Tamandua tetradactyla: one gene and its partner. The protein of the gene in region 1 interacts with the protein of each later gene in a pairwise test. Links are inferred from orthologs where the notes say so. Each region holds a gene or a part of one and is shown on either strand. Other genes may lie near its edges.

Region 1 (10,956 bases):
GATTATCTGCAGCAGGCTCGGGGGATGGGGAGGGAGGGCAGGCAGAGTTATCAACCCCACTTGGGCCAGGTCACACAGGCCAGTCCTGGCAGCTCTCCCTTCTTGGCGCAAACCCCAAAGGCTTAGGACTTCCTTCATACCAGCATATTTGGTCTCCTCCGCAAGTTTTCAGTTTTAAGTCTTTTAACTATAAAGCGATGACTTTGTCTACATTTAAAGGAATTTGGGGAATTATTTTCATGCCATTATCATTTTTCATCTCTGCAACGTCCCTCCTTTATTCCCTTTTATGTTTACGCCCCATTCCCACTTACCTACCCCTGAATTGGCCATTCCATTCTGTTTATCTTTTGTTTTTATGTGTTCTTGAAAAAATACATAGTGTCCTTTTTGGCTGACATGCATTTTAAATTTGTGTAAAAGGAATTGTATTACTTCTCATGCAGCTTCTTTTCACTCAACATTGGGATTTTAAGCTCTACCCCCTTCTAACTGCTGCCTCTGCTCCATGGTGCTTGTCGGCCATGCTTTACTTTTCCCATCTTCTTGCCACCACCAATAATAATATCATTATTCTCAAATGCACCCTTCTTAAGCAGCACTCCTCAAATTTCAGTATGCACTTGTGTTCCCTGGGGCTCTTGCTAAAATGCAGGCTCTGATTCATCAGGTCTGAGGTAGGGCCAGAGACAGAGCATTTCTAACGAGCTCCCAGGTAATGCCTCCACTGCCTGGTCCTGGAACCACACTTCAAGGAGCAAGGTCTTTATGGCCCTCGGTGAGAATTTATTTTGGATTGCTGGGCCACAGGGTATACGTGTTCTAATTTGATAAGTGTTAATCATTTGCTCCCCAGCCTGGCTATTCCACTTAACTCCATACCAGCAGGGAAGAAGGTGATAGGTCTATATTTAAGGGAGAACAAGGTCTTCTCTTTGCTCTTGCCCATGTCCTGCCCCCAAGGGCCTCAGGTTTGGGCTACAGCCACCCTTCTCCCTTAATCCAATGCCCCCTTGGATTGGAGTGACGTCACTGACCAGCAGTACATAGCAAGTCAATGGTCCTGGCATCCTGGTCCCACCCCTAACCCGTAGGACACTGGAGCCTTGGCCCACCAGGCATCTAGACTGGTTTGACTCATGACTTCAAAGCCTGGGCTTTATCTCTAAGGAAGCTCTTAAGCACAGGTGTTGAGAGGCCTCTGGGCTTTGGTGAGGTTGTATTACCTCCAGCTACCATAGTTTTCCTTTAGTAGCCATTTTGAATTCTCAAATGGCTTTCTTTGGCCACTTGCAAGTGACTACCCTGAGCCTGACTTCTCATCTCTAAAATGCATAGTAGTAGCATAGCTATAATTTCGGAGCTAGAATCCAATCTAGGTAGTCACCCATGTGCCAGGAGCCCCTCAGGAGCCCCACAGGAGCCCTAAGGCACTTGTTCTTACTTTTATTATACCCATGAGGACAATTAAATTCAGGGAGAGTTAGCAATTTCCACCAAGACCATGGAGCTAGAAAGTGACAGTGCTGGGATTCAGATTTAGCCTCAGCTAATATGCTAAAGCCAAGTCAGCCACAAAGCCGTATCAACTTTGTGTCTCACTTTGTCCTTGCCACCAGACCATATTTGAGGCACTGATGCTGAAGGCATCTAACAGTGGCAAGCAGGGTTGTAAAATCTGATGGTAAATGGATGTTGGCAAAGACGAACTAAGCACTCATCAGGTCTCTAGGGGTGGCCAAGCCTCAGGGTCCAAATATTTAGATGGAAGGAGAGGGGACTTATGTCTATGGCTTCTAAAGTGGGCATTTTAGGGTTAAATAAGGAGAAAGGGTCAGGGCTGGGCAGGAACTAGAGGTTGGGGATCGCTTCAGGGTCAGGAATGGGGCGGGGTCGGGTAGGTAAGTTTGTCTTATCATGTATCCTACTTGGTAACACCTGATTACTTAATGTTTGGTTTGGAGGGGTCAGCAGATGTGCAGGTGGCCAGTCTAGGGCCTCAAGGGATGCCACCTTCCAAAGCCCTCCTGGTGCTGTGAGCAGTGTGCTGGGTCAGCTTTGGAAACCTGTGGGCTGTGCCTCCCGCACTCACACAGCTGTGCGAGCACTCCTGGCACCAGGCCCCGGCCCCAAGCATTTCACAATCAGAAGAATTTAACATCTGCACATTTTGAGATCTTTTACATCTTGTCCACACCCATCCATCCATTTCAAGAGCCAAACTTCTATCTACGACAGAGCATTTTTCTGAAGGCCCAGGGAAGCTGTCTGCTCTTTCAGCAGCCTTCTGGGTCAAAACACTTTTTTTCAACCTACCGAATGTTCTTTGTGTTCAAAATGTCATCTTACAGTTTTCTGATCCTTATAAAGTACTTCACAAATGAGTACTGCCTTTGACTCACAAAACCCCCATGATAGGTTGGGACCCTTTTAACACTGAGGCCTCCAAGGAATTAACTGGCCAAGGCCACACGTTGTGTAGGTGGGCCAAACGGGGCTTCTTGTTTGTTTTTCCACAAGGGACCTTAGGAGCCTTAAAAGAAGAATAACTACTCCCTGGAACTCTCACTACCCTGGTCAGCCCAATTTCCAGACTTGGGGGTGTGGACTGTGGCAGGAGGTAGGAAGTCAAGGGAGCAGAGCGAGCTTGTGAGGCTGGGAGATGAGTGACGTGAGGTCTCGGGGGGGGGGGGGGCTTCTGCCCAGCCCTCTCCCCCTTAAGCTTCTGTCAGTGGGGCCCTCTCAGAACTTGTGGGGCTCCTGGAAGTGGGAAGAGGAAGAATGGAGAGTCAGCTGTACCCAGGTATAAATTCTCAGTGAGGTCTGAGACTGAGACAGCTGAGCAGCTGAAAGAAGAAAATGCTGCCAGTTGCCAGAAGCCTTTGGTGGCTTGGCCAAACTCCACCCCTGGCTAAGCTCTCTGCCTTTTCCTGGGACCGCACACCAGGCCCCTGCAGTATCACATTGAGGGAAGTGCCCAGAGCCTGGCACGTCTATCCTTCCAGCTCCAGCAACACCACACATGCCCCGGCCTGTGCTGGAGACTGGGGGCTGCTGGGGCAGGAAAGTCCAGATTCATTGCCCTCCCTCCCCTCCGGTTTCTCGGGCCCTAGGCCTGAGCTCAACAGACACAGGCAGTGGGATGGGGTTGCCTTTCTATTGGTCCAAGACCTGAGCGTAGCCAGGGTGAGACATGGAGGTGAGGAGGCCCACGAGGCTCAGCAGAGTGGAGAAGAGCAGCAGGAAGGAAGCGGTGAAGAGCAGGGCCGGGAGCGCACTGAGCACCAGCAGCAGGACGGCCGGCAGCAGGTGGCGCCACGCCGCTGCCACCACGGGCCACAGGGAGCTCAGCAGGTGGGAGCCGGTGGTGAAGAGCGCGTGGCACAGCATCAGAGCCAGCAGCAGGTAGAGGATTCCCTCAAGACCCCACAGCACACGCTGCAGCGGTTGCCGCCAGCCGGATGTGGTCCACCACTGGGCCCAGCTCCGGGGCACGTGGCATGCCCACCAGCGCAGCCAGCCCTGCCGAGTCATCCAGGTCGACCAGGGCACCTCGGGCTGCAGCCCCTCGCCGGCCCCGGTGGCATCCGTCTCCACTCGAGGCTGCTGCATCGTGGCTGGTGCACCTGGGGAGAGGGCCAGGCTAGCTGCAGAAGTAGCCCTGAAGAAGCCTGGGACCAAGGGCCGGGTTCGTGGTGGGAGGAGTGTTACGGGGGCAGGAAGGTGCCAGCGTGGGTGGGGTGGGGCTGTGAGCTGGGACCTGGGACTTACCTCTGGGCAGAACCACTTAAGTCATGTTGCCTCCTACAGAGCCCGGGACAGCCTGGCAGCCAGATTCGAGCCCCCATGCTCACCCATCCCCCCTCCCTCCCCAGAGGAGCCCCATTGTGACCCGGGCCGGGGTGGGGTCCAACCATTAGCAGAGCCAATTCAGGGGGAGAAGTTCATCTGAGTCCCTCTCCATGGACCCTCTGGGCTGGCAGGGATGCCTAGGGAGCTCCATGGACCAGTACTCTCATACTTTCTTATGGGAAAGCCCTCCCTGTATCTCTGTCCTTTCCCTGCCGGCTGATATACAGCCTCTCTCTGCTCTCTCGCAAGTCTTTCTCTCTGGATTCTCATTCCCTAGGGGCACAGAGGAGGCCAGAATAGCCACCCCATCCTGCAGACTCTGAAATGGCTACCACATCTGCCCTGGATTCCCTGTCTCTTATGGCCCCACTGGACCCCCAAACTCGGACCCAAGTCGTGGGGCCAGGGAGTCCCAGATGTTCGCGGAACCCAGCCCAGGATGGAGGAAAGCAGACCCGAGGACGTGGGACGGCCCATGTATTCCTGGAAGGCGCTCAGACCCAAGGGTGGAGGCAGAAAGCCAGGCCGAGCAGGGTCAGGGGCATGCCACGGGCTCCCAGGAGCAACCCCAGACCCATGAGCAGCAGGAGCAGTGCATCCTGGAGGCTGATTTGTCCTGTGGCTGTCCTGACTGGTAGGAGTAGAGTCCCCAGCTGTCCTGGACCCTCACCGGCTCCCTGACTCTGGCCCCCTTCAAGAAGCCTATGCTGCGGCAGGGAAGGAGTTCCTGGTCTGTAGAGAGAGAGAGAAAGAGAGGTTGCCAGGTTTAGGGAGGCTGATCACTTGCCCACCTGCCTACACACTTGCCCACCTGCCCGGCCGTCTGCCCACTTACCTGTGGAGCAGGTCGAAGGCAAGGAAGCTGACCAGTAGCAGCAGCAGCAGCAGCAACAGGGCTGGACCAGCAGTGGAAAGGACTGCCCGAGCTGCCAGTCCCAGCGCCCCCAGCCCTAGGGCACTGTCCAGGAGCTGAACCAGACCAGGATCCCGGGGGGTCACGTTTGGCCCCACTGGTCTGGCCAACCCTTCCCCGGCACCCAGACCCCTCAGAGGGACTGGGATGGGATTTGCAAAGACTTCGGGCCTGGGGAAGCAGAGCCGGCTCATGGAGGGAGGTGAAGGTCACAGGAAGGGCTAGTGTTGGTGGGAAGGGAGAATGGGTGGGTGGGAGCATGGGAGGAGGTGGGGCCCTGGCAGACATTCAAGGGCGAGCTCAAAGAGTGAGAAATCAGGCTTCTTGGGAATCTCTCCCAACCGCATACCCACCCACTAAACCCCCCTCACCTCCTCCCACTTCGGGCACCCATATGGGACTGGCCGCTGGGGCATTGTGACCTGTAGGTGGAGGCCACTCAAAGTCAGTGGCCTGGGCAAGGCTTAGCTGAATGGAGGTCAGCACTGCCTGAGAACTGAGACCCTCTTGCAACCTAACTCTGAGAGAGACCTAACTCTGCCTTAGGACCTTCCCCTGGGGATGGCGTCTGAGTTCTAGAAAGGCATTCTAACCCTGTCACCACAAGAGCAGCCGACCAGGGTGGAGAAGGAAGGTCTGCTTTCTTCTTTCCATGGGTTTCCAGAGTTGTGTGTCAAAGGGCAACTCATTCAATCTCCTTGCCCGCACCTCTCCCCTGCGAGTGAGGTGATGCCTGTTGGCCCTTGTGGTGACATTTGAAACTACAGACCTGGAAGGCGGAGAGAAGCTCTGCCAGGAGGCAGCCTGAGACTCTCTTGGGCTGGGTGACCTGCTGAATGGGAGGGAGGTGGGGGCAGGAGGGAGCTGTTCGGGTGATCTAAGCATACTCAACTCCGGGGTTCAAGAACTGGGGCAGAAGATCAGTGCATAAGAAGGCTGCAACATAATAACCACAAACCTGGAGGTTAAGGTTATCGTTTCAGAATGAAATTAAGGAACATCAACATGCACTGAAAGCTCCCCACAGATGTCAACCAGGGTCACCGAAGGGGATGCATCCTCTGGCCTTTTAGCCCCTGGTGGCAGCGGGAGGCCAGATCCAAAGCCAGCTCCGCACCACCACCAGGGGACGACTCCTGCAGGAGGAGACCATCCCAGGGCAGACTGTCAGGTCACCAGCACCCCCTACCCCAGGGACCACTCTTGTGGGGCTCTGCCGCCTGGGTCTTCCTCTTCAGCAGCCGTTCCATGGCCACCTGTGAAAACAGCCGGAGGAGAAGAAGGCAAGAACTAGGAGGAACTGAGCCCATCGGGTGCTCCAAAGTAAGCCAGATGGACTGGGGTGCTGAAAGGAGCTAGTGCTCACCAGAATGGCTCCATAAACTTTGGGCCCATTTGCTTTGACCTGAGCACTAGATACAGAATAATCATGCAGCACAGCCTGCAACTTTGTTCAGTAAGTAGACTGATGTGGGTGCAGGACTGGTTCTACTGCCTGCAAAGGAGAGAAGAAATTTAGTAAGCACCTCTTTGTGGCTTACGGCCTCTGGAGTACCCTTTCCCATGAAAGACTGACTTTTCTCTCTGATTCTGGGCAGGGCTTAGTCCTCCATGCCGACTTCATGCTCTCCATGCCTACTTCACATATTCAACCAACCTTTGTTTGGAACCTACTGTGTGCCCAAGTCTCTGCTAAGCACTGGGCATAAAGATAGGGCACTAAGACAGGCAAACAATATAAAATGGCTTCATATCATTACTATATGTGCCACGGACCAAGAGGGTATAAGTAATGTCCTTTGTTAACAACACTGAAATTTATGGTTTGCAAACACTTACCCTATGCAATCAATAGACAGGTATGGCCCCACTTAGATGTGAACTGGGACTCAGTTCAATTTATCTACACAAAAACAAGCAAATCAGGGGGTGCACGAGTGGTTCAGTGGAGAATGCTCACCTGCCATGCGGGAGACCTGGATTGAATTCCCAGCCCATGCACCCAAAAAATAACAGAAAACAAACAAACAAAAAAAAAAACAGACCAGAACTTGGACACTGATTATACTAATTTTAAATGCTGGGATTAATTTGGGGGAAAGCACTCAAGACATCACAGAAGTGGCATTTATGATTGACTTTGAAAGAAAGGAAGAGTTTTCTGATCACTCATCCACAGCCCCTGAGGATCTGAAAATGTTGATAAAATTGACAAATTCCTAGAAAAATATAACTTACTGCTGACTCAAGGAGAAACAGGGAAGTATAAATAATCTTGCAACTGTTAAAAATATTGAAACAGTAGTTAAAAAGCCAACCACAAAGAAAACAACATGTCAAAATTACTTTAGAAAGATTTACAGACAGTAAAGGAAAAGTGCATTCCATTCTTAATGCAAACCGATATAAAAAGGAAACACTTTTGTTTGGGGTCCTGAAAAAGTCTTGTTAATGGACGGTGGTGATGGTAGCCCACACTGTGAATGTAATTGACACCACTGAATTATGTATTTGAAAATGGTTGAAATGGGAAGTGTTGTGTTGTATGTAATGTTAACCGCAATAAAAATTAAAAAGACAAAAAAGGAAACAGGGATTGGTCACCTGAAAAGAAAATCTATCCCCATTGAGAGTCTGAAAATGGGTGGTGGCCACACATCTCAGTTCAGTGACTTGAGAAGCAAGAGTGGAAATGGCCACAGGGGGCTGAGGGTGGGGCCGCCGTATGATCGAGAAACCCCACTGCTCAGTATATACCTGGAAGAACTGAGTGTGGGGACACGAATGTACATTTGCACACTGGTGCTTATGGGAGCAGTGTTCCCGATTCACAATGGTGGAGGTGGCCTAAGGGTACAACATCTGAGGAATGGAAGGGGGAACTATGGTGTATACATACAACAGAATACTGAGCAGCCACAAGAAGGAATGAAGTTGTGAGATATATTAAGATATATTAAGGCGAATGAACCTTAAGGACTGGATGTTGAATGAAGTGTCAGAAACCAAAAGACAAATATTATTATGCCTCACTCGTATGGACTAACTCTAATATAAAAGCTTGGTGAACTGAAGTCGAGAGCATGTGTGATCAGGTTGGGTCTATTGTAAAGGGTCTTAGACTGTAAGCGCTCACAGCAGTCACATCTGTTCCAGAGTTGCAACTGTTATTCTAAATTCTGAGATACTGAGCTGTTTGTATATAACATGGTCTTTCCCAGAAACTTCAGGTATTTATGTGACACCTGAGACTCAGAGTTAGCGCTCTGAAGCTATGAAAGTCAGCAGTACCCCATACAGGAACTGTTTGAGAGGTTGAAAAAGGGATTAAACTTTGACAAGAGTTGTGAAGGAAGCTGATCTGGATAGCACTAAGGGAGATCAGAATACAGGGTAAAGGATGATATCGTCCATATTTTAGAACTTCAACTTTTGTGTGAGGCCAAAGGAAGAGATGTTTATTTGGTGCAAAATGCATATTTAAATTTAACTTCTATGGTCAGTTTACTTGAATGCTCTAACTACATGGAATCTTGAATAGGGCGTGGGCTTTTGTTGGTTTGTGTCAGGAAAAAGGATACACCCCCGACACGGAGACTGACGAGCACAGGCAGGAGGTTGATTAGTGAGCACATGCAGTATAGACTTCAGCCTGGGGAAGGACTCGGAAAGAACCTTTGTAGTAGAAGGGCTGGAGGCTTTTGTTGGGCATGGGAAATTGGGGGGTTTTGTTGGTTGGGTTAGAAGTGGAGGGTCAGTTGGGAAGTTGTACGCCCTTCATTGGTGGGGTTTAAGATTTAAAGGCTGCTATAGTTTGGTAGGGTTGTAGCTGCGGGAGTTTTGGCAGACACTGAGTGAGGGGATTTATCAGTGCGGTTGCCAGAGGGTGGATGTTGGGTTGAAAGTTTATTCCAGGAATGCCGTCTGCAACTGCTGTGTGGAGACGTGTGAAGTGCTAGCTACACTGTGGGAGGCGGGGCAGGAGGGTTGAGGGTCCTGGGGAATTCTAACAGTGTGTCCACCCCCAGAGAACCTCTACTGTGACTCAGATGTGGCCTTTCTCTCTCTAAGCCAACTCAGCAGGTGACTGCCCTCCTCTTCTACGTGGGACGTGACTCCCAGGGTATAAATCTCTCTGGCACCATGGGACAGAATTCCTGGGATAGCTGGGACCCAGCATCAAGGGATTGAGAAAGCCTTTTTTTTTTTTTAATTTTTATTAATAAAACCAATCAACATACATGAACATTCTTTTTTTATCACATAGTTGTATATTCATCATCATGATCATTTCTTAGAACATTTGTGTCAATTCAGAAAAAGAAATTAAAAGAAAACAGAAAAAAATGCATACATTCCATATCCCTTACCCCTTCCTTTCATAGATCACTAGCATTTCAATCTACTAAATTTATTTTAACATTTGTCCCCCCTATTATTTATTTATTTTTAACCCATACGTTTTACTCATCTGTCCATAAGGTAGATAAAAGAAGCATCAGACACAAGGTTTTCACAATCACACAGTCACATTGCAAAAGCTGTATCATTACACAATCATCTTTAAGCAACATGGCTACTGGAACACAGTTCTACATTTTCGGACAGTTCCCTCCAGCCTCTGTGTTAGACCTTAAATAAAAAGGTGATATCTATTTATTGCGTAAGAATAACCAAGGGATTGAGAAAACCTTCTCGACCGAAAGGGGGAAGAGAGAAATGAGACAAAATAAAGTGTCAGTGGCTGAGAGATTCCAAACAGAGTCGAGAGGTTATCCTGGAGGTTATTCTTATGCATTATTTAGATATCCTATTTTAGTTTATGGTGTATTGGAGTGGCTGAAGGGAAGTACCTGAAACAGTTGAGCTGTGTTCCAGGAGCCTTGATTCTTGAAGTTGATTGTATAAAGACACAAGTTTTACAATGTGACTGTGATTGTGAAAACCTTGTGTCTGATACTCCTTTTATCCAGGGTATGGACAAATGAGTAAAAAGATATGGATAATAAATAAATAAATAATAGGATTGATAAGGAGTAATATAAATTGGGCAGATGGAAATACTAGTGGTCAGTGAGAGGGAGGGATAAGGCGCATGGGATGTATGAGTTTTTTCCTTTTATTTCTTTCTCCGGAGTTATTCAAATGTTCTAAAATAAGATATTGTGAACCATTGAGTGTAGCTCATGTATGGAGTATACATATGTGAAAATTTGTCAATAAAAATTAAAAAAAAAGAGTGGTAATTGGTCATAATTCAGAGAACTGAATTCTTGTTCCCATATCATACTTTGAGGGAAAACTGATGGGGGAGGTGTGTAGGTAAAGGCCATCTAACCCTTAGGAGGAGAGGACAGAACAAGAATCAGGCTGTATATTTGCCTCCAGGGAACCCTGCCCAAAGGACTCACCTGGCGGCCTTGACTCACCTGGCAGTGATGGTTCAATGGCCCATAAGATTAATGCCACTGGCCCGCAGGAATAATCACCAATTGTTTTTTCTCTAGCTCTTCTTGCTTATCCAGGAACCAGGCTTCCAATGTAGGTTTGTTCTTGAGGGGATAGGATACAACAGAGAACACCAGCATTTTTTTTGGCAAGTTCCAATTTTCTTTGTAAATAAGCAAATTAGCATTAAGATTTAAGATTGCCAGTACCCCGAGCCTGATCAAGTCTAGATAACATTCATAACATTCCATTCCTGGACATGCAGAACGGAGGGTCATGCCCAGATAATGTGTTAAGTTGAGGCTATTCTATACTGGGGGTAGTGGGGGTGCCTGAAAGATTTACTATGCGCCCTCTGCTCTGCATACATTTATAGGAAACTTTTATTCGTGATTTCCTCAACATCAGAGTTTATTTTTTCATTCTTCAATTACTTAGCAAGTTTCTCCTGTGTGCCAGGCACAGTGCCAGATGCTGGGTCATGATTACCAAAAGCAGAGCCTGAGATGGGGATGCTGGTACACGTGATTTATTTAGGGAACACTCTCAGGAGGAAAACCTTTAGGGAAGTGAGGGAAGGGAAGCAGGATGGGGGAGAGAAAAGAACTAAGTAAGGGCATGGTCTCAGCTGGAGCCTGGCCTCAGCCTGATCCCACAGGGAATTCTAGAAGGTGAATTGCACCATCGAGTGGTTTGCATCGTGGACCCTGTGTCAGTCGGTCATTGGCTGTGGCTCCTTTACC
Region 2 (12,104 bases), on another chromosome or scaffold:
TTCTGTTTTTTTATTTCTTTTTCTGAATTAATGCAAATGTTCTAAGAAATTATGAATATGCAACTAAGTGATGATATTGATAATTATGTATGTTTTATTTTGTTTATTTTTTAATTAATAAATTTTAAAAAAAAGAAAGGAAGGCAGTAGCAGAAGGGAAAGATAGAAGACAAGTAAGTGGGCAAAACACAGTATGGAACCACTGGAAAAGTGCATTTTGAACTGGGAAGCCAGGAAACCTGGGCTTGAACCCCAGCTCTGTGGCAAAATGGCTGTATGACCTTGCCTGGTGTCTCTTAAGGTTCTCTAGGACTCAGATGTTTCAGCTGTAAAATGCAGATAATTTTAGTACAAAGGACCAGAGTAGATGGGGGAATTAAATAAGATCAGACATGTCTGTGTAGTCCAAAAGGTGGTATGTGTAAGAAAACTTTAGCTGAGACATGGAAGAACATTTTAGTGGTTGTACACTTATTTTAGGAGTGAAATACAACTAATGCAACAAATTTGTGATTTCCCAGGTGTTATTACTTAAGACAAGTTGCTATTTAAATTTTCGAAAGTGGCTGTGGATACTTAAGATGTATTCATTTCGTCATATGTAAACATTATCTCAAAAGAAAAAACAAAAGCAAAATATTGAACTCTAGTTAATTGCCTACTGAAGCATTTGGAGATGAAGTATAGTGATGCCTACACCTTACTTTGAAATGCGTCAAAAAATAAGGTGGATCTACTTAAAATTATGCCTAAGAGTCACCCTCAGAGAACCTCTTTTGCTACTCAGACATGGCCTCTCTCTCTAAGCCAACTCGGCACTCCCCCACTACGTGGGACAGGACACTCAGGGGTGTAAATCTCCCTGGCAACCTGGGACAGAATTCCCAGGATGAGCCGGGACCAAACATCATGGAATTGAGAAAGCCTTCTTGACCAAAAGGGGGAAGAGAGAAATGAGATAAAGTTACACTGGCTGAAAGATTTCAAACAGAGTCAAGAGGTTATCCTGGAGGTTATGCATTATATAGATAACCCTTTTTAGTTTATGGTGTATTGTAGTGGCTGAAACTATTGTGCTGTGTTCCAGTAGCCTTGATTCTTGAAGACAATTATAAAAAGATATAACTTTTACAGTGTGACTGTGTGATTGTGAAAAACTTGTGGCTGATGCTCCTTATATCCAGGGTATGGAGAGATGAGTAAAAAATATGGATAATAAATAAATAATAGGGGGAATAAGGGGTAAAATTAATTGGGTAGGTGACACTACTAATGGTCAATGAGAGGAAAGGGTCAGGGGTATGGAATGTATGAGTTTTTTTATTTTTCTGGAATGATGCAAATGTTCTAAAAATGATCATGGAGATGAATACACAGCTATGTGATGGTATTGTGGATGGATTTAATTGTATACTTTAACTGTATACTTTGGATGGATTGTATGTGTGTGAAGATATCTCAGTAAAACTATTTTTTTAAATTAAAATACAGTCCATGCGAGAAAGGGGGAAAATTCAACTTCCCCAAGTGGAGAATTCTTGATAGTCTCACAAGCAGTGGGGACAACCAAAGCCATAGCCTGCGCCCCCAATCTTGGGGTTTGTTCATATGAAACTTAACCCCGCAAAGGATAGGCTAAACCTACTTAAAAATTAGGCCTAAGAGTCACCCCCAGAGAACCTCTTTTGTTGCTCAGATATGGCCTTTCTCTCCTGGCCAACATGACAAGCAAACTCACTGCCATCCCCCTCTCTACATGGGACATGACTCCCAGGGATGTGGACCTTCCTGGCAACGTGGGACAGATATCCTAGAATGAGCTGGGACACAACACCAAGGGATTTTGAAAACCTTCTCGACCGAAAGGGGGAAGAGAGAAACGAGACAAAATAAAGTGTCAATGGCTGGGAGGTTCCAAACAGAGTTGACAGATTATCCTGGGGGTTATTCTTATGCATTAAATAGATATCACCTTTTTAGTTAAGGTGTAACAGAGAGGCTGGAGGGAACTGCCTGAAAATGTAGAGCTGTGTTCCAGTAGCCATGTTTCTTAAAGATAATTGTAAAATGATACAGCTTTCGCATTGTGACTGTGTGATTGTGAAAACCTTGTGTCTGATGCTTCTTTTATCTACTTTATGGACAGATGAGTAAAACATATGGATTAAAAATAAATAATAGGGGAACAAATGTTAAAATAAATTTAGTCTGAAATGCTAGTGATCAATGAAAGAGAGGGGTAAGGTGTAGGGTATGTATGAATTTTTTTGTTTTCTTTTTATTTCTTTTTCTGAATTGATGCACATGTTCTAAGAAATGATCATGACGATGAATATACAACTATGTGATAAAAAAGAATGTTTTTATGTTAAGTTTTATCAATAAAACTATTTTTTTAAAAATACAGTCCATGTATCGACTGTATGTGTGTGGAAATTTGTCAATAAACGTATTTTTTAAAAAATAAGGTAGGTTGATGGAGAGAGGGATGGATAATGAGACAGATGTGAAATAAAGCAAATATAGTAAAATAATTGTGGAATCTAGGTGGTGGGTATATGGATGTTCATTGTACAATTCTTTGAACTTTCATATGTATCCTTCAATTTCTGTAATAAAATATTGGAAAACAAAAATAGTTGCTTGATTTTAAAAAGAATATTAAGTCAATAACAGCACAGATGGTAGAAGGAATTGACAAAAATCATGAAGGTGGTGATGAATGAAGTTTGGTAAACACAGACTTAGATGAAGTTTCTTTGACCAGTGTTAGCATGTTCTGGGAATGTGAGGTAGCGCAGGGGAAACTGCTGAAGCAAAAAAAAAAAATTTGCAAAGTGGAAGCCGCTAAGCCCTGGAGGCAGAGCCTGGGAAGGAGGGGGGAAACTTCTCACCTTTTTTATCATAGCATCGCATCAAACTAAGAACCCACTGGTCTTTGCTGTGCCCACACACACTCCGGGAATGAAGCTGGAACCTGCAAGGGAAAAAAAAACTGTTCTCAGCTGCCGGCTCCCCTCTTCCCCTCCCCCTGCCCTGCTCCTTCCTCATTCCAAAGGAATGAGGTCACCGCCAAGAAAGTCTTGTCTGCTGGAACTGGGAAGTCCCCAGGTAAGTGGGGCTGGGAAATGAATGTGTGGGGAGTTGAGGTCCGGGAAAGGGGGGTATGCCCACCCCAAGGAGTTCAGCTTTAGATCAGAAAAGGGTCCTGGAGGCGCCCGGCAGGAATGAGGCAGGCACTCCCTTCCTTCCAGTGGTGGGTGAGAAGATCACCTGATGTAATGCGGACAGCGCTGGTAGTCTCTCAGATGTTTTCGGAAATGTTCCATGTATTCAGGCGTTGGTGGGGAGCGCGAAGAAAATGATTTATCACAGGGACAACTTCCTGTGATACTGGCCTGGTTGCCATCGCCTGAGCAGGAATAGAGGTGGACAACTCAAGTTCCCAGGCCAAGGGAGCTCCCCCCACCCCCGTTCTTATTTAACCCCAACCCACTGACCCACTGCAGCCTCTCCCCTAGACCCCAGGGTCTGATCCCAGGCTTAGCTGACCCCCAGGCTTAGCCCTCACATCACGCCTCGCCCCCAAAGACGTCTGTAGTCGTACCTGAACCCAGGTGTCCCCTAGCTTCTATCCCCAGGCAGCTGGTCTTCCCCTTGCCCCTGCTACCCTGCGCCTGGCTCTCCATTTATACAGCCCCGCGGCCGTCAAACTTCCCCTCCCCAAGCACATCCCCTTTCCCGGACGCAGGGATCCAGACTCCCGGCCCAGCCCCTGACGAACCTGGCAGACTCAGCCGCGCTAGCAGGAGGAACAGGAGCGCGCGCGCGGGGGGTCGCCGACCCCGCCTCATCTCGGGGTCTCGGTGGCCGAGGCCACCTCGCCCTGCCTGCCTCCCGGACGGGATCCCGGAGCGTGAAGTCGGGCTGGTTTTCCTCCCCTGCTCCGACTGAACGTCTGGAGAAGACGGCGGCCGTCGGGGCCGGGTCCCTGCTGCGGAGCGGGCGCGAGGTGACGGCGCTCCCACCGTCGCGAACGGACCGTGCGGTCGGTACCGCCCGCGACAGGGAAAGCCCCGGAGGCGGACCTTCGCCCCGCGCCCCCGCGGGCCGCCCGCCCTCCCCAGGTCAGCAGGCGGGACGGGCGAAACCAGCGAGCGGCGCAGCCTCCCTCCGGGGCGCTTTCACTTCTCCCGGCCGGGCCCCGGGCGCAGCCGAGTCCAGTCACATGGCCGGAGCGAAGGTGGCGAACCCTGGCCAGCGCAGTGACCCTCGGTCACGGAGCCCACGGGGGCGTGGCCACCCGAGGGGCGGGCCGAGGGCTCGGGCCGCCCTGACGTCACGACTGCCCTCCCCGTGGTATTTACCTTCGAAAAGTGGTGGCGGCTGCAGGTACCGGAGTAGCGGGCGGCCGGGAGGGGCGAGGTCTGCTGGGGCTCACCGTCAAACCGAGCCTGGCCGAAGGGGTGCCCCGGCCCTCGTCCCTCCTCCCACGCCCCACAGACGGGTCCAAAATTCTTCCCTCCTTGCCCAACCCTTCCCAGTGGGATTAGCCCTCCCTCATCCCCAGCCTATACTCGAACCCGACTTCTGAGGGTTTGAACCCTCAAATTCTAAGCCCCCAAATTTTGAGCCCCTGAGTGATCACCCTCTACCCTAATCTCTCATTTCCAAAAAGTAACCTCCCATCCTCATTTCTGAATTTTTATCCTCAATCCTGAAACCCTATTCTCAGTTCCTCCAACTCATCTGCAGACTTCACCTTAAAGTACTCACAAACCCACGCCAGCCCACCCCCACCCCCGAACTCTCTCACACTACCCGCCCCTCACCATATGTCCCTTCCTCTGCTCAGTCTGGGCCCAGGCCCTGTGCCCCTGAAGACATGGAGTTTGTGTCTGGATACCGGGATGAGTTTCTTGACTTCGCTGCCCTCCTCTTTGGCTGGTTCCGCAAGTTCGTGGCCGAGCGTGGGGCTGTGGGGACAAGTCTCGAGGGCCGCTGGCGACAGCTGGAGGCTCAGATCAGAAGGCTGCCCCAGGACCCGGCCCTCTGGGTGCTCCATGTCTTGCCCAACCGTAGTGTGGGCATCAGCCTGGGGCAAGGGGCAGAGCCAGGTGCTGGGCCAGGCCTGGGGGCTGCTCGGCTCCTGGGAGATGAGGCCCCCCTCCATCTGCGAGACCTGAGCCCCTACATCAGCTTGGTCCGCCTGGAGGATGGGGGGGAGGGGGAGGGGGAGGAAGAGGAAGAGGAAGAGAATGGAGAAAAGGAAGATGCAGGCCCAGAGAAGGTGGATCTGGAGGAGGACAGCGCGCCAGCTGCGACCAGTAGGGACTCCCCGCAGGAAGCAAACCCCTCAGGGGTGCCAGAGGAGGCTGAGCCGGAGGTTAGAAGTGGCGAGGATGACTGCCGAGAGAACAAGGCAGAGGACGAGACAGCCTCTGAGAAGAGGAAAGGACGGAGAAGTGGTAAGAACCAAGGGTTGGCCTTGCCCTATCCCCTGCCCAGCTGAGCTTCACTTCTGGAACCCTCCCCCGCCAGCCAGAACTCAGTCTGGACTGAAGAAGTGTCTTCATTAATCCACAGTACTTTTTGTTTTTTAATTCGACTCGACATTTAAATATTAAAAGAAAAAGAAATCCAGAAGATTAATACCTTCTCAAGAAAAATCTAAACACATTTCTGTAGGGCAGCAAATGCTGGTACCATGAAGCATTCTTAGGCCCTTTTACTCACTGGCATACTTGCCCAGCCCCAGTAGGCATTTGGGACCCCTGACCTTGTCCATCACGACACCTGTGACTTTTTCCTCTTTTCCCAGAGGCTGACCCCCTGCACCTCTCCTGCCTCTTACTGGTGACAGATGAACATGGTACCATCTTGGGCATTGACCTGCTAATGAATGGAGCCCCGGGGAGCACAGGCCGGGGCTCAGGGACAGAGAACTTGACGCACCTGGTTCCTCGGGCCTACGCTCTCCTCTGCCACAGCATGGCCTGCCCCATGGGGTCTGGGGACCCCCGAAAGCCCCGACAGCTTACTGTGGGAGACCCCCAGCTGCATCGGTACAGAAACATGGCATGTGAGGGTGGGGAAGCCTAAGGACCTGGACTTCCAAGCCCTGGGCCTGACACCATCTTCACACCCCACTCAGAGAGCTGGAGAGCCTGGTTCCAAGATTGGGAGTGAAGTTAGCCAAGACCCCAATGCGGACATGGGGTCCCCGGCCGGGCTTCACCTTTGCGTCCCTTCGGGCTCGAACCTGCCATGTTTGTCACAGGCATAGCTTTGAAGTGAAACTGAGGCCCTGGTGAGCAGCTAGCAGAGATGGAGTACGAGGGAGGAAGACCAGGCAAACAGAGAGAATGCAGGCTGGTGGGGGACTCAGCAGACAGATGGAAGGAGGGCCAGGGAGACAAGGAACAAGCCCTTACAGTTAGAAAGACAGACAAACAGGCCAACTGACAAATGGGCAGCTTAAGGGCAGACAGATGGCAGACAAAGCACCTACAGAGAGAGCAACTAGGGGCCCACCAGCCGCCGTGTCTCCCAGCCCCCAGTGTAGCGCTGTCTTGTACTGTGGAGAAGCTTGTCTCCGGGCTGACTGGCGGCGGTCCCCAGATGATGTGAGCCACCAATTCTGGTGCCCGAGGCTTGCAGCCTTCATGGAGCGGGCAGGAGAACTGGCAACTCTGCCTTTTACCTACACCACAGGTACTTAAGGTCAGGATGGGGGCCAAAAGCTGGGATTAGAGCTTTGGGATTGTGGTCTGGGTGCCTGGAAATGGGTACAGGGTCCTGGGATTGAAGGCAAAGTGCTTGAGGATGGAGTCTAGACCCCTTAAAGATAGGCTGGTGTTTGGGGTTAGGGGGCTAGTTAGATCCCTGGGGCTGGAGCAGGGTCTCTGAAGCTGAGGACTGAGTACCTGGATCCTTGAAAGAGTTTAGGAGATTCAGGGTTAGGGACTCAGACAGCTCCCTTCCCAGCTCTACCATTAACCGGCAGTGTGATTTTAAACAAATCTCTTTAGTTCTCTGGCTTTGGTTTTCTCATCTGTAAAATAGGGAGACTAACAAATGTTGAAATCCATGGATGGGGATGCATGGCTAGTTCAGTGATAGAAGGCTCTCCTGCCATCGGGAGACCCAGGTTCGATTCCCAACCTATGCACCAAAAAACAAACAAAAACCCATAGATGGAATTGTCATAAGGATTATGTGGACTTGGTGTCTAGGTGGTAAAATATTAGCTCCTTCCCTGATTACAACCAGATTCAGATTTGGGGTCCTTGAGGGAGGCTGAGGAGAGTGAAAGTCTGGGGTCCTAGCCACCAGGCCCTCAACCCCTCCTCTTCCTCCTTCTCCAGAGGTGACCAGTGAAACTTTTAACAAGGAGGCATTCCTGGTGTCCCGGGGCCTCACTCGTGGCTATTGGACCCAGCTCAGCATGCTGATTCCAGGCCCTGGCACTCCCAGGCACCCACGGGGCAGCGCACCATCCCTCAGCCTTCTTCTCAGTGGTGCGTGGGGCATCTCTTCAGACATGGGCCCCTCAGCCTACAGGGGAAAAAAGTTGTCCGAGTCCCAGATAACCCCTCCACATCCACACCAAACTCCCCCCTCTCCCAACCAGCACCTCACTCTGTGCAGCCCATTCAGAAGCTCCATCCCTACCAGACAAACCCCCATTCCTCTTGCTGCAGCTCCAGGAGCTCTCTCAGGGGACACAGCTCCTTTGGAAGGAAGAGGGGGATGGCCCAGGCGAGGGTCTTATCGACATCAGGTCCTTCTCCCTTTCATCCTCTCAGGAGATCCCTACCAGCTTCTCCAGGGGGACGGGCCTGCCTTGATGCCTCCTGTGCCCCCAGATCCACCAAGAGGCCTCTTTGGTGAGTTGGAGGAGCCCAGAGGGACCCAGGGGGCAGGAACAGGGGCTGGAGGGCTGGAAGCCTAGGTTGCTCAGAAAAAGGGGGCTGTTACATTGGAGGAGTTGGGGTCCTGGCCTGCGGCCGGGTCCTCCATTAACCCACTCTCCCCAGTCTCTTGGCAGGATTACTACACATGGCGGGGCCTCGGCTTGGACTCTCCCATGGCCGTGCTTCTCACCTACCCTCTGACAGTGTACTATGTCATCACCCACCTTGTGCCCCAGTCCTGTAAGGAAAGCTGGGGCAGGGAGGAGGGCCTGGAGCAGGGGGTGTAGGGAGCTGGTAGGGGGCTGGAGGGAGAAAAGAGGGAGACTGTATCCTTCAAAAGCTGGCTTCTCACCAGTCCCTGAGCTCAACATCCAGAACAAACAGTCACTGAAGATCCACGTGGTGGAGGCCGGGAAAGAGTTTGACCTTGTCATGGTGTTTTGGGTAAGTCCCTCCAGGCTTGAGGGTTGGGCTCCGGAGTATGGGGGTGGACGCAGGGTGGGACCCAGATCTGTCCTGCTCTCTGTCCTTCAGGAGCTCTTGGTCCTGCTCCCCCATGTGGCCCTGGAGCTGCAGTTTGTGGGTGATGGCCTGCCCCCCGAGAGCGACCAGCAGCATTTTACTCTACAGAGGGTCAGGACTAAGGGGAGCCCTGCTCTTCAGCCCTATCTCCCTACTGTCCTCCCCACTGGGCCCCTCCTTTCCTCTCCTTCTCCCCTGTCTTGCTTGGTGCATTCTCCAGGACTCTGATTTTCAGTGGCTTCCCCACCCCGCTCCTGGCCCCCCAGGATGGCCCTGAGGTGTCGGTCCGCCCTGGATCTGGGGTATCAGCACGGCTCAGCTCTGGGACTAAGGAGAAGGGGGGGCGCAGGGACCTGCAGATCAAGGTGTCAGCACGGCCCTACCACCTGCTCCAGGGGCCCAAGCCTGACCTGGTTATTGGTGAGAGCCTGGGGCTCAAGGGAGGAGGAAGGAGGCATGGAAAAGGTGGAGGAGAGGCAGACCATGGGAGCCAGCTTCTCCCTGCTCTCTGTCCACAGGATTTAACTCTGGCTTTGGTCTCAAGGACACTTGGCTGAGCTCTCTGCCCCGATTACAGGTGGGGAGGGGTTTAAAAGAGAACTTCTCTGGCTACCTGCCCTGCCTCTCCTTTCGTCTGAGAATCTCTGGGCCCTTTCCCATCCTCTGCTCCCAACATGTGGGGAGCGTCCACAGGTCCTCTTGCCCCTGTCTGCCTTATGCCCCTCCCCTGACAGGGTCTTTTCTGGAGCCTCAGTTCCCAACTCTGTCTGCCATCCTTGTGGCTTGGGATTGTACCTGGGAGGTGTGGGGGAGCTTCCCAAGGCGCGTCTCTGAGGCCCCACCCTACTCGCAGTCCCTCCGAGTGCCGGCCTTCTTCACCGAGAGCAGCGAGTATGGCTGCGTGATGGACGACCAGACCATGGCCGTGGCCACAGGAGGGGGCACCAGCCCCCCACAGCCCAACCCCTTCCGCTCTCCCTTTCGCCTCAGAGCGGCCGACAACTGCATGCCCTGGTGAGGGCCCACGACCCTCCCTATTTCCTTCGTGACCCTCAACTCGTCCTCTTCCTCTCTGGCTCCACATCTAAAAAGGCCCACCTCTGCCCTCTGCCTCTCCAGCCCGGTGTAACCCGCCTTCTCCGCCTCCACCGCCCCCCACCACCCCTTTTAAGATCCAGCTCACAGACTCTTCCCAACTCCTCGCCCCACCCTCGAAAGGACCCTGCCCCCCTCTAGCTCGCCTGGCCCCGCCCCCGGCCCGCCTGGCCCCGCCCCTGACCGCACCCACGCGCCCCCCTCTCAGGTACTGCAACGCCTTCATCTTCCACCTGGTCTACAAGCCCCCGCCCGGCAGCGGGGCCCGCCCAGCGCCCGGCCCCGCGCCCCCGGCCCCGCCGCCTGCCGCTCCTCCCGCCCCCGCCCGAAGGCGCCGCGGAGAGAAGAAGCCCGGGCGGGGGCCCCGTCGGCGGAGGTGAGGGCTGAGACGGCAGCAGGCCACCCCCGCCCGCGACGCGCCGCAGAAAGGAAAAAAATGGGAAAGCGCCAGGCTGAGGGGGAGGATTGGTTGGCGGAACATGGAAAGGTAAATAAAATTACTTGTTTGAAATCACTGAGTCATCGACCCTTTCATTATACGCCAATGACTAGGAAAGGATAAGGGCGGGGAGAGAAGATTTAGGGCTGACACTCCTCCAGTCCCTTTCAGTCCCTCCAACGGCTGTCCCCTCTCGGACACACTCTTTGGTGATCCCAAACCTCTTAATAAGCCATTTTCCGGTCCGGGGAAACTCAGGGTCCTGCCCCAAGGATGGAAGTGGTTTCCCACTAGGGGGACGGGGTTTGCATAGGAATGTTCACCTAACCTCCTAGGGGCATACTGATCCCTTGGTTTAGATTCAGTGAAAGGCCCCAACCACCCAGTTGTCCAAGTCAGGAACCTGGCTCCCATCCTTGACTCCACTTTCCCTCATTCTTTCTATCTAATGAACTCTTACAGAGTCTGTCTCCTAAAGGCGCCCAAATTTATCAGCTCATTTCCTGTCCTACTGCAAACTCGGCTGTATCTCCTCTCTGCACTGCAGCCAGAGTATTCTAAAACAGGCATTTGAACAAATCACTCCCCTGCTTAAACCTCTTCAGTGACTTCCCTCTGTTCTTAAAATCCCTTTGGGTGTAGGCTGGATTTAGTGACTCACTTGGAAATAATAGAGTATGGAAAGGGAGAATTAGTAGAGAAACCTGGAAAAACACCTATTTAATCAAGTGATCAAGATTAATAGTAAATAATAAGTTGTGTTGACATCCCGTGCCCCATGATGTAATGTGATGAGTAGGCCTCCTTGCCTCTGTGTTATTCTTCCCCCCAAAATATAATCTCAGTCTAATCATGAGAAAACATCAGACAAATCCAAATTGGGGACCGTTCACAAGAATTTAACCCCTATTCTTCAAAAGCATCAAGGTCACCAAAGGCAAGATAAGACCAATGCCAAGTAAAATAAAAAGGCAACTTTCACTGGAACACCTATACTGAGAAGAGATTTTTCCCTAAGATGAAAACAATTGACCTGCAGGGACTTTCCAAGAAAATGAAACACACTCTACATAACTGCAAATAAGCAATTTCTGATGATAAACCAGTTTCTGTCCAGTAGAGAGAGCTTATCAGAAAGGACCAGCATACCATACTAATTGGTGTATATCTGCTCCATTTTGTAAAACTCCACTTTGTAAAAATGGAAACAATGTAAACAAATCAGAACATTTCCTTACTTGTATCAGTGTTTGCCCTGTATCAATTCACTCTCTCCACCTCTTTGGCAGAGCTCCCTTCTGTTTTGTGAATACAATGCTGCCCAATTCATGAATTGCTCAATAAAGCTGTGAGATCCTAAACTGCCTGAAAAGTTTTTCCTTTAATACCAAGAAACTGCCATGGAGTGGGAAGAGACTAAAGAGATAAGACAACGAAATAAGATGTGCTAACCTGGATAGGATCCTGGAACAGAAAAAGGACAGTGGAAAAATATGAATAAAGTTTACCCAATAGTATTGTACCAATGTTATTTTATTAGTTTTGGTAAATATACCACAGTTAGATAAGATGTAACATTAGAGGAAGGTAGGAGAAGAGTATATGGAAACACCTTTGTAATTCTGTAAATCTAAAATTGTTTCAAAATGAAAAGTTAAAAAATCAAGTTCAGATTCCTTAGTGGAAGGTTCCTCTCTCTGTGTTATTCTCTTTTTACTTTAAATATTTTATTATGTAAATCTCCAAATATACACAAAAGCCCAAAGACAGCATAATGAATCTTCCATCTACCCACCACCCAGCTTCAACAATTAGGCCATTTTATTATCTCTCAGTTTTTTCTCAGTATTTTAAAGTATTCCTCAGACATCAGTCTTCTCACCCCTATGCATCTATAGCTAATAAGGAATTAAAAAAAAAACTTTTTATTTTAAAATCATTTCAAACTTATGGGCAGCTGCAAAAATAATACAAAACTCATACAGAGAACTTCAACATACTCCAGATCTACCCACTTTTAATATTTTGCCACATTTGCAGTATCCATCCGTCCATCCGTCTATTTTCTAAACATATGAGTGAAGCTCGTATATATCATCCATGATCACTTACTACTTCCATGTATATTTCCT

The links.
Region 2: the proteins of TMEM239 (region 1) and CXCL16 interact in a two-hybrid assay, tested with the Homo sapiens proteins (2 studies listed by BioGRID). The two-hybrid records come from large-scale screens. The link is inferred for Tamandua tetradactyla from reciprocal best matches to the Homo sapiens genes TMEM239 and CXCL16.

The regions. Positions count from the first base shown.
Region 1 is NC_135327.1:24,534,573-24,545,528, reverse strand, and holds TMEM239 (transmembrane protein 239), read right to left. Parts: upstream 3,898-10,956; 5' UTR 3,772-3,897; intron 3,627-3,771; 5' UTR 3,613-3,626; coding exon 3,157-3,612; 3' UTR 3,144-3,156; downstream 1-3,143. Other genes in the region: C1H20orf141 (uncharacterized protein C20orf141 homolog), read right to left, coding at 4,347-4,584, 4,688-4,959.
Region 2 is NC_135332.1:60,643,858-60,655,961, reverse strand, and holds the start of CXCL16 (C-X-C motif chemokine 16), read right to left. Parts: upstream 4,888-12,104; coding exon 4,876-4,887; exon of another isoform or gene 4,856-4,875; intron 4,455-4,855; coding exon 4,368-4,454; exon of another isoform or gene 4,303-4,367; intron 4,182-4,302; coding exon 3,785-4,181; intron 3,413-3,784; coding exon 3,274-3,412; intron 2,978-3,273; coding exon 2,895-2,977; intron 2,616-2,894; exon of another isoform or gene 1-2,615. Other genes in the region: ZMYND15 (zinc finger MYND domain-containing protein 15), read left to right, coding at 4,886-5,468, 5,822-6,065, 6,155-6,310, 6,554-6,714, 7,368-7,520, 7,809-7,889, 8,040-8,156, 8,272-8,360 and 5 more. UniProt on the Homo sapiens protein: Acts as a scavenger receptor on macrophages, which specifically binds to OxLDL (oxidized low density lipoprotein), suggesting that it may be involved in pathophysiology such as atherogenesis. Induces a strong chemotactic response. Induces calcium mobilization.